Lonchura striata: one gene and its partner. The protein of the gene in region 2 binds, or shares a complex with, the protein of the main gene of each other region. Links are inferred from orthologs where the notes say so. Each region holds a gene or a part of one and is shown on either strand. Other genes may lie near its edges.

The links. Proteins that work in one complex are often made in the same cells at the same time.
Region 1: CACNB2 (region 2) and STAC3 share a complex: the UniProt entries of both Homo sapiens proteins name them as parts of the calcium channel complex. The link is inferred for Lonchura striata from reciprocal best matches to the Homo sapiens genes CACNB2 and STAC3.

Annotation. Positions count from the first base shown.
Region 1 is NC_134629.1:5,901,613-5,909,711, forward strand, and holds the start of STAC3 (SH3 and cysteine-rich domain-containing protein 3), read right to left. Parts: upstream 3,054-8,099; 5' UTR 2,914-3,053; intron 2,228-2,913; 5' UTR 2,227-2,227; coding exon 2,161-2,226; intron 1,786-2,160; coding exon 1,524-1,785; intron 969-1,523; coding exon 871-968; intron 710-870; coding exon 634-709; intron 541-633; coding exon 449-540; intron 344-448; coding exon 277-343; intron 72-276; coding exon 22-71; intron 1-21. Other genes in the region: R3HDM2 (R3H domain-containing protein 2), read right to left, coding at 4,885-5,228, 7,228-7,312, 7,411-7,511, 7,602-7,746, 7,885-8,054. UniProt on the Homo sapiens protein: Required for normal excitation-contraction coupling in skeletal muscle and for normal muscle contraction in response to membrane depolarization. Required for normal Ca(2+) release from the sarcplasmic reticulum, which ultimately leads to muscle contraction.
Region 2 is NC_134603.1:137,020,228-137,027,197, reverse strand, and holds the start of CACNB2 (voltage-dependent L-type calcium channel subunit beta-2), read right to left. Parts: upstream 3,062-6,970; 5' UTR 2,969-3,061; coding exon 2,870-2,968; intron 1-2,869. UniProt on the Homo sapiens protein: Beta subunit of voltage-dependent calcium channels which contributes to the function of the calcium channel by increasing peak calcium current. Plays a role in shifting voltage dependencies of activation and inactivation of the channel.

The DNA.
Region 1 (8,099 bases), on a different chromosome or scaffold from region 2:
GGGCGAGGATGTGAGGGGTACCTTGTCATCTGTTGTGCCCTTCTCAGCCTTCTTGTCCCCTTCAGAGGCACCTGGGAACAGGAGGAGGGGTCACGCCTCTCCTGGCGGTGCCTCCCGGGGGTCTCCTCGGCCAAAGTGGGGATGCAGCGAGAGCCCCAGGGTGAGGACATGAATGGAGGACCCTCTTTCCGCAGGGCAACCCCCCTCAAAACACAGCCAGGGGCTCCCTCCGTGTCCGCGTGGGCTCAGCCCCCCAACCCTCGGCCCCGCGCTCACCACCCTCAGCTTTGCTCCCCACCGGCTTCGTGGCCTCTGGCTCCTCGTCCATCATCGCAGCCAAGGGCTGGAAGGCAGAGAGAGCTCTCAGAAGGTGCAGAATTTGGGGGGGGGCTGGAGGGTTCGTGGGGCGCACCGGCAGGAATCCGGTGAGAGCCCGACCCACACTCACGTTCTTCTTGTCCTCCTGCCCCTTCTTGCGCTCCTTGTTGGCCATGATGACGCCCGTCCGCAGCGTCTCGAACACGGGGTCGCTCCTGTTCGCTGCGGGGGCAGGAGAAGGGTCAGGGGGGGACAGGTTGGGGCAGCCCAGGCTGGGTGCCAAGGGGACGGGGCAGCCCAGCACGGGGGTCTCACCGAGCTGCTCCTTGGTGCCGGCGTACTGCTGGTCGCTGTAGAGGGGGGAGCTGTACGCCCGCCGGAACCCGGGCGGCTGCGAGGACCGAGGAGGGGTCGGAGCATCAGCCACCCCCCGGCCCCACCTCTCAGAGCCCGGGGTACCCCGGAGGGAGATGCCGGGGTCCCCCTCAGAGCCAGGGAGTGACAGGGGTGGTGGCACCCGCGTCCTGGCCGCTCCCGGGGGGGGACACTCACGATCTTGCCGAAGCAGCGCTGCATCTCCACGTAGGACTGGCAGTGGTGGTGGATGTTGGTTTTGCAGTTCTTGCACCTCAGGCCAAATTTGTTGTTGACTGGCAGTGGGCGGGGGGGGTGGAAAGGAGAGGGAATGTGACACTGCAGCTGTGAAACGGCCGCGACGGAGCCCTGCGCGGCCTTGGCCCCCAGCCCCAGCCCTGCCCCCAGCCCCCAGCCCTGCCCGTGGCCCCCAGCCCCAGCCCTGCCCTCAGCCCTGCCCGTGGCCCCCAGCCCCAGCCCTGCCCGTGCCCCCCAGACCTACCCGTGCCCCCCAGCCCTGCCCCCAGCCCTGCCCGTGCCCCCCAGCCCTGCCCGTGGCCCCCAGCCCTGCCCGTGCCCCCCAGCCCCAGCCCTGCCCGTGGCCCCCAGCCCTGCCCGTGCCCCCCAGCCCCAGCCCTGTCTGTAGCCCCCAGCCCTGCCCCCAGCCCCCAGCCCCGCCCGTGGCCCCCAGCCCTGCCCGTGCCCCCCAGCCCCAGCCCTGTCTGTAGCCCCCAGCCCTGCCCGTGCCCCCCAGCCCTGCCCGTGACCCCCAGCCCCGCCCGTGACCCCAGACTTGCCTGTAGCCCCCAGCCCCAGCCCTGCCCGTGCCCCCCAGCCCCCTCAGGACTCACGGACGATCATGCGGGCACAAACATCACAGAATTTGGGCTTTTTGAAGTAATGGTCTTTGAACTTGTGGGGTTTGTCATTAACAAGTTTCTCGGGTTCGGGAGGGGGCTCGGGCTCCTCCTCCTCCTCCTCCTCTTCCTCATCCTCATAGATGTAGTAGATGGGTCCCCCCGAGGGGCTGACCAGCTCCCCGTTGGGCTGTGGCTCCGGCGCCGGCTCCTCCTTGGGTTTTCGCTGGAAAAGTTGCTTCAGCTTCTGCAGCTGCTGGGGCGGGAGGGGACGGACGGTGTGTGGCAGCGTGGGGGAGGCAGGAGGGCACACACCCAGCTCCTCGCCCCGGGGACCCCCTCCACGAGCGGGAGGAGACTCCAGGAATGCTCTGGAGATGGGGAGCCTCCTCCCAGCCCCGTGAAGTCTCCACAGAAGAGGAAGCTGCGGTTCCTGAGCCCCTCACGGATGTGGGTGCGCCACAGGGAAATGCCAAGCTGGGAAATGCCCACCCAACACCCGGCTGGATCAGGGTCCCAGCGGGCACCCCAGGCCTCCCACAGCCTCCTGGGCTGCGGCAGGATGATGATGATGATGATAGAGAGGGGGCTTCCCCCGCCCACCCAAACTGCCCTGTGGGCACCCACTTACCCGGCTCTTGGGTTTCCCACCTGAAGCAGGTGAAGCTGGTGGCTCTGGCACTTCCTTCTCCGTCATGCTGCAAGGGGAAGAGCAGAGCTGGAGTTGGCTGGGGCAGTTCCAGCTGCAGGAGCCTGGCAGGGGATGGTCAGACCTTGCTGGGTGGGCAGTGCCACCCCTTCCCCTGCCCGTCCTGCAGCCCCTGTCTCAGCGAGGGTCACTCCCAGCGCCCATCCCAGCCCTGCCCCGTTCTGGTTCTGCCTCGGTGAGCCCCAGGGCCAGGCCGGTGCCCGGCCCAGAGCGTGGCACATCCGCTGGCTCAGGGACGTGGTGCCAAGTGCTGTGAGCCAGCCCCTGGGCTACCTGCAGGTGCCCACCTCAGCCCGGACATCTCCATCTCACCGTGAAACCACAAACTCGGCCCCTCAGACGAGCACACGGGGGGCACCGACGGGCACTGACGGCTTTCGGCTGCCACCGGGGCAGGACCTGCTCCTGCATCCCCCAAACCATCCCGGTGCCACCTCCGACAGCCTCTCCGCAGTGCTTCCACCCAGACCTCCCTCTTTTTGGCGATGCCCACCCCTCAAGCCCCTCCAGCCCCCCGTGGAAAGCAGCCAGGAAAACCATCAGGAAGCAACAAAGGGGCACGGGGAGCGCCGGGGCGAGGGGCGCTGCGGGAATGGGGCACCCCGAGGCCCCGCAGCAGCGGGGGAGCTCCGGGCGGGCACGGCCACGGCAAGAGCGGGCACAGGGGGCACTTACCCTGCGCTTGGCGGTCTCGCCCTGCGCTGAAGGAGCCCCCGAAGGGCGGCCGGTGCCGGAGCCGCGTTGGCCGCAGAGCCCCCGGGCCTCGGTGGCGGGCGGCAGCCGCGCCGGTCCCGGGCCGAGCGGAGTGACAGGGCAGAGGGGGACGACAGCTGAGCGGTGGCGGGGCTGACGCCGGGAAATTGGAGCCCCGGCGGGAGCAGGCGGAGGAGCCACCGGCTATTTGCGTTGGTGGGTTGCTGGGCGTGCCAGGGGCCCCCCCAGCCTGGCCTGGGACAAAGAAGGAAGCGGGCACAGCCAGGGCTCGGGGAGCTGGGCACAGCCAGGGCTCCGGGAGCTGGGCACAGCCAGGGCTCCGGGAGCTGGGCACACCGAGGGCTCTGGGAGTTGGGCACACCGAGGGCTCCGGGAGCTGGGCACACCGAGGGCTCCGGGAGTTGGGCACACCGAGGGCTCCGGGAGCTGGGCACACCGAGGGCTCGGGGAGCTGGGCACACCGAGGGCTCCGGGAGCTGGGCACACCGAGGGCTCTGGGAGTTGGGCACACCGAGGGCTCCGGGAGCTGGGCACAGCCAGGGCTCCGGGAGCTGGGCACAGCCAGGGCTCCGGGAGCTGGGCACACCGAGGGCTCGGGGAGCTGGGCACACCGAGGGCTCCGGGAGCTGGGCACACCGAGGGCTCGGGGAGCTGGGCACACTGAGGGCTCCGGGAGCTGGGCACACCGAGGGCTCCGGGAGTTGGGCACACCGAGGGCTCCGGGAGTTGGGCACGCCGAGGGCTCCGGGAGCTGGGCACGCCGAGGGCTCCGGGAACTGGGCACAGCCAGGGCTCCGGGAGCTGGGCACACCGAGGGCTCGGGGAGCTGGGCACAGCCAGGGCTCCGGGAGCTGGGCACACCGAGGGCTCCAGCTTCAGCATCTCCTTCCCTCGTGCATTGGAAGCTGCTGCGGGTTCAGCGGCAGAGGGGCAGCAGTGGGGTCTGGCACGGGGTGGAGTGGCTGCTTCACACCCCCTGGCACCAAATCCTGCTGGTCCAGGCTCCGCTGGGATGGCAGGAGCTGGGATCCCACCCTGAAGTTAATGGGCACCCTGAGGTCCCTGCCTGGCTGTGGGTGGCAGCGAGGTGGGAGCTGGAACCAGCCTGGGCTTGGAGCCCCCCCTTTTCCTGGCAGCTCTCACCTGCCCAGGAAGGTTGGGAGCATCCTGCTACTGCCAGAGGCTCTGGCTGTGCCACCCCAAATCCTGCCCCCACCTGCACCTGGCAGCTCCAGGTGCTGCTCCTGTCCGCAGGAATGTGATGTTTCCTGGCAGGACACACAGCTGGGGCCACGCCATGCCCTCGTTCCTGCCCTGGAATTCCACAGCTGGATGGAGAGGCCATGAACATCTGGCAGGGGAGTCCAGCCCCAGTCCAAACGCTCTGATCCCAGCCTGGGATCCCCATTTTGGCACACCAGGGGCTTGCAGCCCTCGGACACGCCAAGCTCGGGCAGGACTGGGCAGGATCATCCCCCTGCCAGTTCAGCTGTCCCCTCACCCCGCTGAGGCAGCACAGAGTCCCCAACCCTGGCACTGGCAGAGAATGGGAAGTTACATTCAAGTGATGGACAATTTTCCTTTTTTTCTTTTTTTATTTAAAAACAACCCCCCCAAATAAAATAAAACAAAAAAATTTCTCCCCACCCCCCCCCCACCCCACAAAATAATAATCCGATTAAATAAAATGTGCAGTGAACATACCAATCAACACCTGTATGTGCGGTCCAACACAGTGCTTAAACAAAACCATAGACACAGGGGAGGGGGGCGGGCACGGGCGTCACTCCAAAAAATAATAATTAAAAAAAAAAAAAATCAACTTCTTGTCTCTTAATTATGTTCATATAAATATATCAAGGAAGGAGGGCGAGAGGAAGGGAGGGCGGGAGGAGAAGAGGCCCAGGGGAGTGCCCGGTGCCCACGGGAGCCCTACTGGGAGCTGGCCCGCTCCAGCACCCGCAGGTCGTAGTTCTTTTTGGCCACGCGCAGTTTGAAGCGGCTGAGGGAGTTGTTGAGGCGCAGGGAGGCGTTTTGGGCAGCCAGCGGGCTGGGGAACACGGCCACGATGGTGTATAAGGCAGCGAGGTCACTGTGCCTGCCGTTCTCCGGAGTCCCACTGTTGTCCCCGCCGCCGCCGTCCCCGCGCCGCCCCTGAGTCTCTTTGAGCCACTGGATTTTGGCACCGGCCATGGCGAGCTGCGTGAAGAGCTTGTCGGCCTCTGTCCGTGTGATGCCCTCGGGCAGGTCCGTCACCTCCAGCACCCGGCCCAGCACTGCAGGGAAGGAGCTGCGTGTCACCGGCCAGGTCCCAATGTCCCCAGCCAGGTCCCGGTGTCACCGGCCAGGTCCCGGTGTCAATGGCCAGGCCCTGGTGTCACCAGCCAGGTCCCAGTGTCACTGGCCAGGCCCTGATGTCACCGGCCAGGTCCCGGTGTCACCGGCCAGGTCCCGCTGTCCCCAGCCAGGTCCCGGTGTCACCGGCCAGGTCCCGCTGTCCCCAGCACCCTCCTGGCCTCTCCTGGGTCCGGGACACCGTGCAGTGCCCAGCTGCCCCCAGAGCAGGATCTGCTTTTGAAGCCCCCCAGAGCCCCCCTGCCCGCAGTGCCCCAGCCCAATCCCCGTGCCCACCGTGCTGGCTTTGCTGCAGGGGAGGTGTGGGTGTCCCCCAGTGTCCCCCAGCTGCAGGGACACCAAGCCCCCCTGGCACCCTTGGGACAGCTGGGCACCTCAGGCTCTCCCAGGGGCTCTGCCTGGTTTTCCTACCCCAAACCTCAGACCCCAGGACTGGGAGCCAACCCCAGTGGCCCATCCCAGAGTTGGGAGCTCCCAACTCTGACTCTGGGAGGGAGAATGGCTGCACCCACAGAGGATGGTGGCACTGGGTGTGTCCTGCCTGGTGGTCCCCAAACCCCTCTGAAGCTCCAGACCCTGCCCTGTGGTTCCCAAATCCCTCTCAGCTCCTGGCTCTCTCCTATCCCTGCCATGTGGTGCCCAAACCCCTCAGCAGTTCCTGACCCCATCCTGTGGTGCCCAAATCCCTCTTCTGCAGCTCTTGGCTCTCCCCTATCCCTGCCCTGTGGTGCCCAAATCCCTGTGCAGTTCCCTCTCCCTGCCCTGTGGCTCCCAAATCCCTGTGCAGCTCCCGGCTCTCTCCTATCCCTGCCCTGTGGTGTCCAAACCCCTCAGCAGTTCCTGACCCCTGTCCTGTGGTGCCCAAATCCCTCTGCAGCCCCTGGTTCCTCCCTATCCCTGCCCTGTGGCTCCCAAATCCCTGTGCAGCTCCAGCCCCTGCCCTGTGGTTCCCAGATCCCTGTACAGATCCCAGCTCTCTCCTATCCCTGCCCTGTGGTGCCCAAATCCCTCTGCAGCCCCTGGTTCCTCCCTATCCCTGCTCTGTGGTTCCCAAATCCCTCTGCAGCTCCAGCCCCTGCCCTGTGGTGCCTAAATCCCTGCAGTTCCCTCTCCCTGCCCTGTGGTGCCCAAACCCCTGCGCAGCTCCTGGCTGCAGCCCTGGCTCTGGGCTTAGCAGAGCTGCTGCAGGGATTCTTTGCTAATATTAACGTGGCACGTAGGGACCATGCCAGGGGCAGGAGGGGGCAGGCAGTTCTTAAAGAGCCCCTGCAAGCAGCTGCTGCTGGTGGCACCGAGGTGACACTGGGGACAAGCCTGAGGTCCCCAGAGGGTCACCGAGGGCTGCTCCATCCAAGCTGGGCGTCCCTCCCTTCCCAAGGACCCGGTGGAGACAACTCTGGACATGGGTGGGAAGGATTCACCAGAACCCTCAGCCCTCGCAGCCAGCCTGGGAGAGCCCAAATCTCAGAGATGAGGCTCTGAAGCTGCAGGCCCCATGGGAAAGGGAAGCATGGGTGGGAAGAGGGACTTGGGAAAGCAGTGGTGGGAATGAGATCTCAGAGTCTGGACACTCACTTTCTGCTGAGGAGGAATAAAATCTCAGCTCTGCCAGCGCCATCATTTCCAGCCTCTGAGAGGCAGGAATAGCTCCCAGGTGTCTTCCTCAGGGATTTTACTCCCTGTTCACCCACCTCCCTCAGGGCACAGCGGCCTGGGGCTGGATCTGCTGCACCCCCAGCCTGGACTCACCCGGGCTGGGAGGTGTTTGTGGGTGTGGGGAGAAGGGACAGGCAGGAACCACTCTCCAAAACCAGCACAGGGTTCTGCAGGATGCTGGCGTGGACAGGGACGGCACCTGGAGTCTCCAACATCCATTTGTGGGGACATCAGAGGGCAAAGAGGCTCGAGGGGGACACTTGCCTACGTCACTTGTCCCCAGGTCGGTGGACGCTGACTTCAGGGCCTGTCTCTTGCTCCGGTTGCCGTGTTTCATTCCAGTCTGCCCCTTGGAGGAGAAGAAGGGCACCGTGTCACCTCAGGGGACACTGTGGCTTCACGGTGCCCACACAGGGGCTGGGGAAGGGAGGTCTGGCCATACTTTACCTGGTGTCCTGTGTAGCTGGGCTGGTTGTGGAGCAGCGGCGGGGGACACAGGGACAGGTTGTACTGCAGAGGTTGGCCCAGCAGTGAGTACCTCCCATCGCCTGCACAGGGAAGCTGAGTTTGTGGGGATCCCAGGAAACATCACGGCATTCCCAGCCCTGGGCTGTGCCCTCAGGCCTTCTTCCCCTTACCTTGTGCCGGGCCCATGGGCCGGGGGAACTGCGTGAGGACGGGGAGGGGGCTCAGCCCCGTGCACACACTGTTGAGGTTGGTGACGGGCGACGGCGTCGGGGACTGGGTGGGGGACGTGATGGGGCTGTTCAGCTGGGTGCTGGCCTGGGGGAGGGACAGTGTCAGACACCCCAAATGCTTGTGACCGCTCCCATGCCCACCCTGACCCCGCGGGGTGACCCCCCAGCCATCACCCCCAAGGCTGAGCTGCCTCCTCCCGGTCCCTCCCAGTCCTCCCAGTACCTGAGCACTGGTGTCGGGGTTGTAGAGGTCTCCTGGCTTCTGCCCCCGCTGCTCCAGGCTGTAGTACTTACAGTGGCTCCACTGCACCACGGGGGGGTTTTGGGGGGCCTGGGGGCCGTTGGGGACATTCAGCTGCATCACCACCACACCAGGGCCTGACGGGGACACCCCTGGGGACAGACACAGATGTGTATGGCCCACGCTCTGCTGCTGTG
Region 2 (6,970 bases):
GAAGAAGGATCATAAGAAAATTACATGGGAGCAAGAGAAAAGAGAGGCTAAGAGTTACCATGAAAGGCATTAATGTGTTATGGTATATTATAAACAAATCATAGTAGTACCTGGGTTAATTAAAATTATTAAAATTAATATTCTACTAATTCAGATTCCTGAAAATAGGGGTTCTTTAAATAAGGAACTAAAGAGAAGACTGTGGTTGATTTAAAAAAAATACACCAAAAAACTGATCACCAAACACTGGTACATTTGAAGAGTTTGCTTCTTTTCTTTCAGAAAACCTAATGCTGATTTCATTACAAAAGGGCCACACCTAAAACCACCAGTTTGTACTGACATATATCTAGACATTGTGAATAAGTCCACAGTGTAACTGGTCAGCATGCAGATTTGTCTGGATAAAACTGGACATCTGAAACTCTACTGCAAATCCATCTAAGACCAAGATACAACTGGGACTAAGATCACACTGAACTAGAACTAGAACTATGTTTTTACAATCATATGGACCTAAAAGCCATAGAATTTTAGTTAATACAAGAAAAAAACACCAATATTTCGTCCCAGTTGCAAAGAACTTCCCTGGAAAAATACAGTATAACTGTCATGACCAACACCCAGAGAGATTTTCTTTTGTTTGCAGATCTTGTTAGGAAAATGCATTATGAAAATAAGAAATAGACTTTCCACAGATGTTATCTAGGAATATTTCACATATTTAACTGCCTTTTAAGTGAACTACTTCTAGAGTGTTAACTACATTTCATGCCTCTGCCCCATGGTGACAAGTTTGGCCAAAATGGACGGACAGGCACAATCCAAAATACTGACCATGATGTTAAGATAGATTAAAAGAAATATCAGCTTTGCAAAAGTAAAATTTTGGATAAGAGAGTTGTTGTGACTTGGTACAACTCTACAAAGGCTGTCAATAATATTTTCTTAAATCATAATTCCCAGAAGAAGCACTTCAGAGTGAACACTTTTAGGAGTGACATCACTCCATAAGTTCACATGCTGGTTTGGGTTTTTTTCCCCTGACAGATTATTTGGCAGAAATGTTTCTAGGATTGATATTCAACTACCTTAGAGAAAAAGACAGTGGTACACATATCTGAAGTACCTGTAGGCAATCTACTTGATGATTCACATGTCCTCATTAAGCCTCTCCTTCTCACTGTGAGTGTGTTCTAAAGCAGCAAGATTTTACAATATTGGGGTTTTTTAAATGTTCATGGAACAAAAATTCAAATCAAAATAATTGCCTCTAAATGCAGCACTTGCCAAGAAATTAACTTGCAGTATTATTCAGACAAAAGGCCCTTTTGTTTCCATAACTTTATTTCCTCTCTACCAAGGGTTTATGTATGACTAAAACAAGTACATAGTGAGAAGATGATTCCTGATCTGCCTGATGACTTTGATTCCAAAACCTGAAAAACATCCCTGAACTAAAAAGGTGCATTATCACTGTCTCAAAAAGTGAATCTTTTTGGCTGTGAGTGTTCAGAAACCTGTTTTATAAAACAGAATATAAATGCATTACCTGAAACATAAATAACGTGGGTGTTAGCAAACTATTCTTCCTCTCTAAAGAGAGGTTTTTCAACCCTAGCTTAAAGGAGGTTGAGAAATCAATTTTATGATTGGTATTTGACATTTGTCCACAGCAGAGAGATACCGTATGATTTGAAAGTTGCTGAATCTGTGCTTAGGGCTATACAGACATAAAAAGGGGGGATTTGTAGGTCAAAAATTAGCTCCATTGCCACTGTTTCTGGAGAAGCTGGCAAAGCATATGGCCCTCCTGAAATGTCTGTTCTGTGCTTGGAGGCTACTGACATCCAAAGAGACACTTTCTCTTTTTTAGTTTAACCTCCTCTCTGCCTTAGTGCCTGGATTTTGTTCTGCTGTCACCAGGCCTGAGTATGTAAAGATCAATCACCACGACTGTTGACAGACTGATGGCATTTTTCTCTGTCAATCAAGAACTACTGGGATGGAGCTGGTCCACCTTCTCAAACAAAGCATCAGAGACAGCTTTGGCAGCAACAGTAAAAACCGCACCCCAAAAAGGAAAAAACCTCTGTCCTAAGAAGATAATGCATAATTGAAATCTGAAATTGACACAATCAGATTTTACCACCCTTTTATGGGTTCAAAAACAGCACTCTGAAGTCTTTGTAACCAACTATTGCAAACTTGAAGATACTAAGCAACATTCATACATTAAACAGAAACAACCTTTCAAAATATGAAGTCTTGTCTAAGTAAGCCTTACCCTACCTCCTTCTCATCACCCATCCACCCGAACACTGCAAATGAACTGAGTTGTTAAAATTTCTGAGACGACTGCACAACCACCTTCTGCATGAAAATCGAGCAGCTTAAATCTGCAGCATGTTCAACACCTTCAGCCTCCCCAAAATTCCTGCTGAACAACTGGCGTGAATCGCCTTCTCTCACCTACAGACTGTCACCAGCCCGTGCAGCAGACGAGGGAGGTTCAGCCGTGCGTGGTAAGCATCAGGTACAAATACAACAGGTTACTGGAGCAGGGAAAAATAGCCGTACCCTGCAGTACACGTGCGGAAGATCAGCTTAAAAGCAATGTATTCTTACATACTCATCCTCCAAATAATCGCAAGGTTCTTTTGATTTACGATGCTTCTATGGCACAGAGCATCCTATGTGTGCTAATTAAACGGCTTTTGAGAGTGGGGGCGAAGACAGGGGTTTCGGGCGCCTTAGGGGAGCCGTCAAACTTTTCTGCCGGCGGTGCCCGAAGTTGAAGGACGGGCCGCTCCGGGCCCTGCCCGCGCCCCCGCCCGCGCCGCCGCAGCCCGGCCGAGCCCCGCCGTACCTGCGCTGCCGCCGCCGCGGGCAGGGGGTTGTCCAGCAGCTCCATCTGCACCTCCTGCGCCGGGCTGGGAGGCGATTTGGACATGTCGCTCTGGACCATTGGCGAGGAGAGCGGGTGGCTGGGCGCCGAGCCTCTCGGCGGGACAGAGCCGTGCTGAGCCGAGCCGAGCCGAGGCGAGGCGAGGCGAGCCGGGGCGGCGGGCGCCGCTCAGCGCCCGGCCATGCCGAGGAGCGGCGGGCGGCCCGGCCCTGCCCTGCCCTGCCCGGCTCCGCTCCGCTCCGCTCCGCTCCGCTCCGCCCTGCCCTGCCCGCTGCCGGCGGGGAGCGCTCGGCGCCGCGGACGGGGCAGCGCCGGCGGCGGCGCGGGGGAGGGCAGGGGGCGGTGCGTGGGGAAGAGGGAAAGTGACAGCGAGCATCTCCCTCCGGCGGCGCCGGGCGGGGCGGCGCCGCATCCGCGCGGCCCAGCCCGAGCGCGGCCGAGCGGCGAGCAGCGAAGTTGGGGCTGTGGCCGGCGGGCCGGGGGGCATCAGGCCCTGCTTTTCCCTTCAGCCCTGCCCGGCGTCTCAGCCTGGCCGCGCGGCATCGCCTGCCTCAGCGCGCATCGGCTTAGACCTGTGCTGTTAGCGAGCGAACCGGCGCTTCGACAAAGTTCCATAGGTCTCTTGTGTTGACAGGGCTTTTTGGAGGTTCCTATGCACATATCAACAAGAGATGAGTACGATGAAATCCGCTGTCGAATTTTATATAACCTGTGAGTGTACGATCTCAATCGTGCTATCAGGTACCCCACAGGAGGCGCTTGAAACACCTGTTTGAAACCTGATCCGGCAAAATCACCCTCCACCGCTGAGATGATCTTTCATTTCTTGTGAATGAGAGATCATTTTGGTCCTTATAGAGACCAAACTCTCTGACCTTATGAAGTCCACAATGGACTGATACCTTTCTTCCACTGGATGGGACCTAGCTGTGCCCCATGCAGCATGAAAGGGAAACTTGTGTTTTCAGACTCACTATGTGATGGTTTGTGAAATATCCTATCAGCTGATTGTAAACAGTGAAAACTAAGTCTAGAAACTGACTGGCCTGGTCACACAATTAAAATCACAACCATTACTAAAAGTAATAAAAGTCACTTTCAGGAAAAGAAGCCAGCAAACCAAAGCCAGCACAAAAGCCAGATCAATTTCAAAAAGTACTTTCAAGCTTTAGCCAGATTGCATGGTTGATTTATTTCATTTTTCATAATAGCTAATAAGCTTCCTTTCTGAATTAGTTTACCCCTATGGATTTTCTTATATGAATAGTGAAAATCTTACAGGAACTGCCCATTTTTTTTGTGAAGAATTAGCTTTGTCTGCAAGAGGAAGTGCTCTGACGTTTGAAGAACTTTCACTTGTCCATAAAGTTCCATATTTATTTTTGAAGACAATATTTCAAAATTATTTTCTAGAATTTTAGCGTGTTGTCCATGAAAAAACACAACCTTAATTTAAAGTGAAAATTGTGGGGTTTATTGCTTAACTTTCTTTCAAGTAACGCAATAGACATGTTCAACAATCTTGAAACTATAAAGATGCTGGAGTCTGGACTGCTTCCAGATGTTCTTCAGGTGGTTATAACCAAAAAGATATTTTATTTTTAGATATTTGGTGTGAAAAATTCATACTTCACCATCTAGTAGAGGCTTTGAAGTAGTTATTTCTTTGACACTTACAAATTAGATTGTTTAAATTTAATTACTTTTTGTAATTTACTAATTTTGTAATTTTACTCATTATAAAGGAATTTACTGAAAAGCCTAAACACAGTATTCGTGTTAATGATTGCTAGGTGGTGTATTGTTATTGGAAGATGTTGTCTTTGAATTTCTAGCACCTTTATGGCTTTGGAACAATTTATCCTTCTGTATCAAGACACTCTAGGAAAGGTACTTGACGATCCACCATGATTCAGTACATTTACTTGGTAGATTTTCAGGCATCTGTCAGGGATTGCCTGCTCTTTCTCACACAGAGAAGGTAGTGGAAGTCACTTAATCATGTAACAGTGGCCCTTCATGTTGCCTTCTGGATTTTCACTTTGTAAAGAGTGTATAAACAGGAGCATTTTTTAAGTATACCACCCTTCTGTAAGAGTAGTAGTGATTATTTTTTAAATATTACAGTTTCTAAAACCATAAATTGTGAATCTGGATTGAAAGAGTATTTCTACTCTCCTATAAATTAAAGCTTGAATATGTCAGTTGAAGTTCATTTTTTGTATGCTCAATCATGTCTTTTATGATTAGTTTGTCTTTTTTTTCCTTTCCATTATAAAAAAATAATGGTAATGATTTTGCTTGTTTATGTACATACATAGAGGTTCTGTAGAAAGAAAAGACTCAGGAAAGAAGTTTCACCTCACACACACACAAATAACATCTGAATTTTTAGTAAGTTTATTTGGTTTTTCTTTCTGAGGAAAAATATTCTACATAACTGTTCTTTAGCAGCAATTATTCATTGTCTTGATGTAATGAGTGGCTAGAAGATTAGCATAGAAAAATAACTGTATTTTATTCTGTTTCACCCCTTCTGTTTAGCAGTTAATCCAAGTTCTCTAACCTTGAAATGTGCAGTGAAAGTCCTTCAGCTGAACACATATGCATACAGTCATCCTTCTGCATGCTGTTTTTGGCCACCTCTGCTCCAGGAGAAGGGTCAATGTGTAAAAACAATGTGCAGAGATTCTAAATTGCTTGCTTTTTCTCAAGAGAAAAAGCAACCTGGTATGCCTAACCCCTTCTCAGCAGAAAACCACCCTGCTGCATTTATTTACACTTTTATCTGCAACGAAGAGGTGTTGTGCATGCTTATTTGGATTTTTATAAACATGTAAATGTTAGAAAACCAGAAGAAAACACAGGCTGTTTTGTTCATAGGCCCTTTTTCTTTCTTTAAAAAAACAATCCCAAAAGCTTAGGCTGACAAACAACCTGATTTGGGTGCCAAAAATAGCTGGATTTTTTTTTTTGCATGAGAGTTTAGATGTTCTTGTAAAGCAAGGAGGACTGTATTACTGTGCATATTTAATTGTTCTTTACCATCAGTATAAGAATGTGGTGTCAGCACCATGTTCTAACCTTTGTACCCATGTATGGCAGGTACATGTTTGGTTTAGCCTATAACTATCACCTAAATGTACAAAAAATAGGCCAAGGAAGTTTGGCTGATATTTGTGCAAATGCAGCTAAAAGCTAGTAACTTAGACCCAAGGGATTTCTTTAAAAACTTGCACAAATACAAACCAGTGAGCTTACAATAAATTATTTTTATGAAACTATATAAAATGCTTTTAACTGAGCATATATTTAAAGCCCTGATATAGAGAATTTCTCTAGGTCTTTCAGTTAAAAAGAAATGCTGGCTGTCTATTAGTCTGTGCCACCTCCTGCCTAAAATGAATTGTAGCCAGAAATTCAATATTGTAAAAAAAGAATTCACTTGATTACACAGTTTTAATATCTCAAAACAGATACGGTTAATCTTTTTCGGTGATAAACTGGAAGCTGCCTGTCGCAAGTGCAAGTTAAAGGGATTCCTCTTATTTTAGTACTTTATCTTTCACACAAGTCTGAACAAAGCCACTCCAGACGGGCTCACTTTTGAATCCGTTATCAGTCTGTATCAGAGCACATCACCTGGCTGGATTTAATGAACTGATCCATTCTCCCAGCTCGTGTTTATTATGTTGTATTCTTGGATATAAGTGCCATGCACCTAAGACAGCCTTGACTGATACTATTACAATGTGTTCAGGAGAAGACAGGATTGGAAGGAGGAGGGTTTCCATATGACGGAAGATAGGAGCAGTATATAAACACTGGTAAAAATGCTCTTAAAACACAGAAAGGCTCACAATACTTGAAAAAGCCACAACACCTACTAAGCACATATTTTCAGCCCTTTGCAAAACGTGACCAAAAAAGGCACGCTCCCTCTCACAAGCTGTTCACTTTGTGAGAGGCAAATTTTCTGTCGATGGGTTGTACACAAAGTTCATGTTTGATTAAGCACTTCTGCAGAAGTTGCTGGTTTCAGTTGATTTTTTTTTTGCTTTT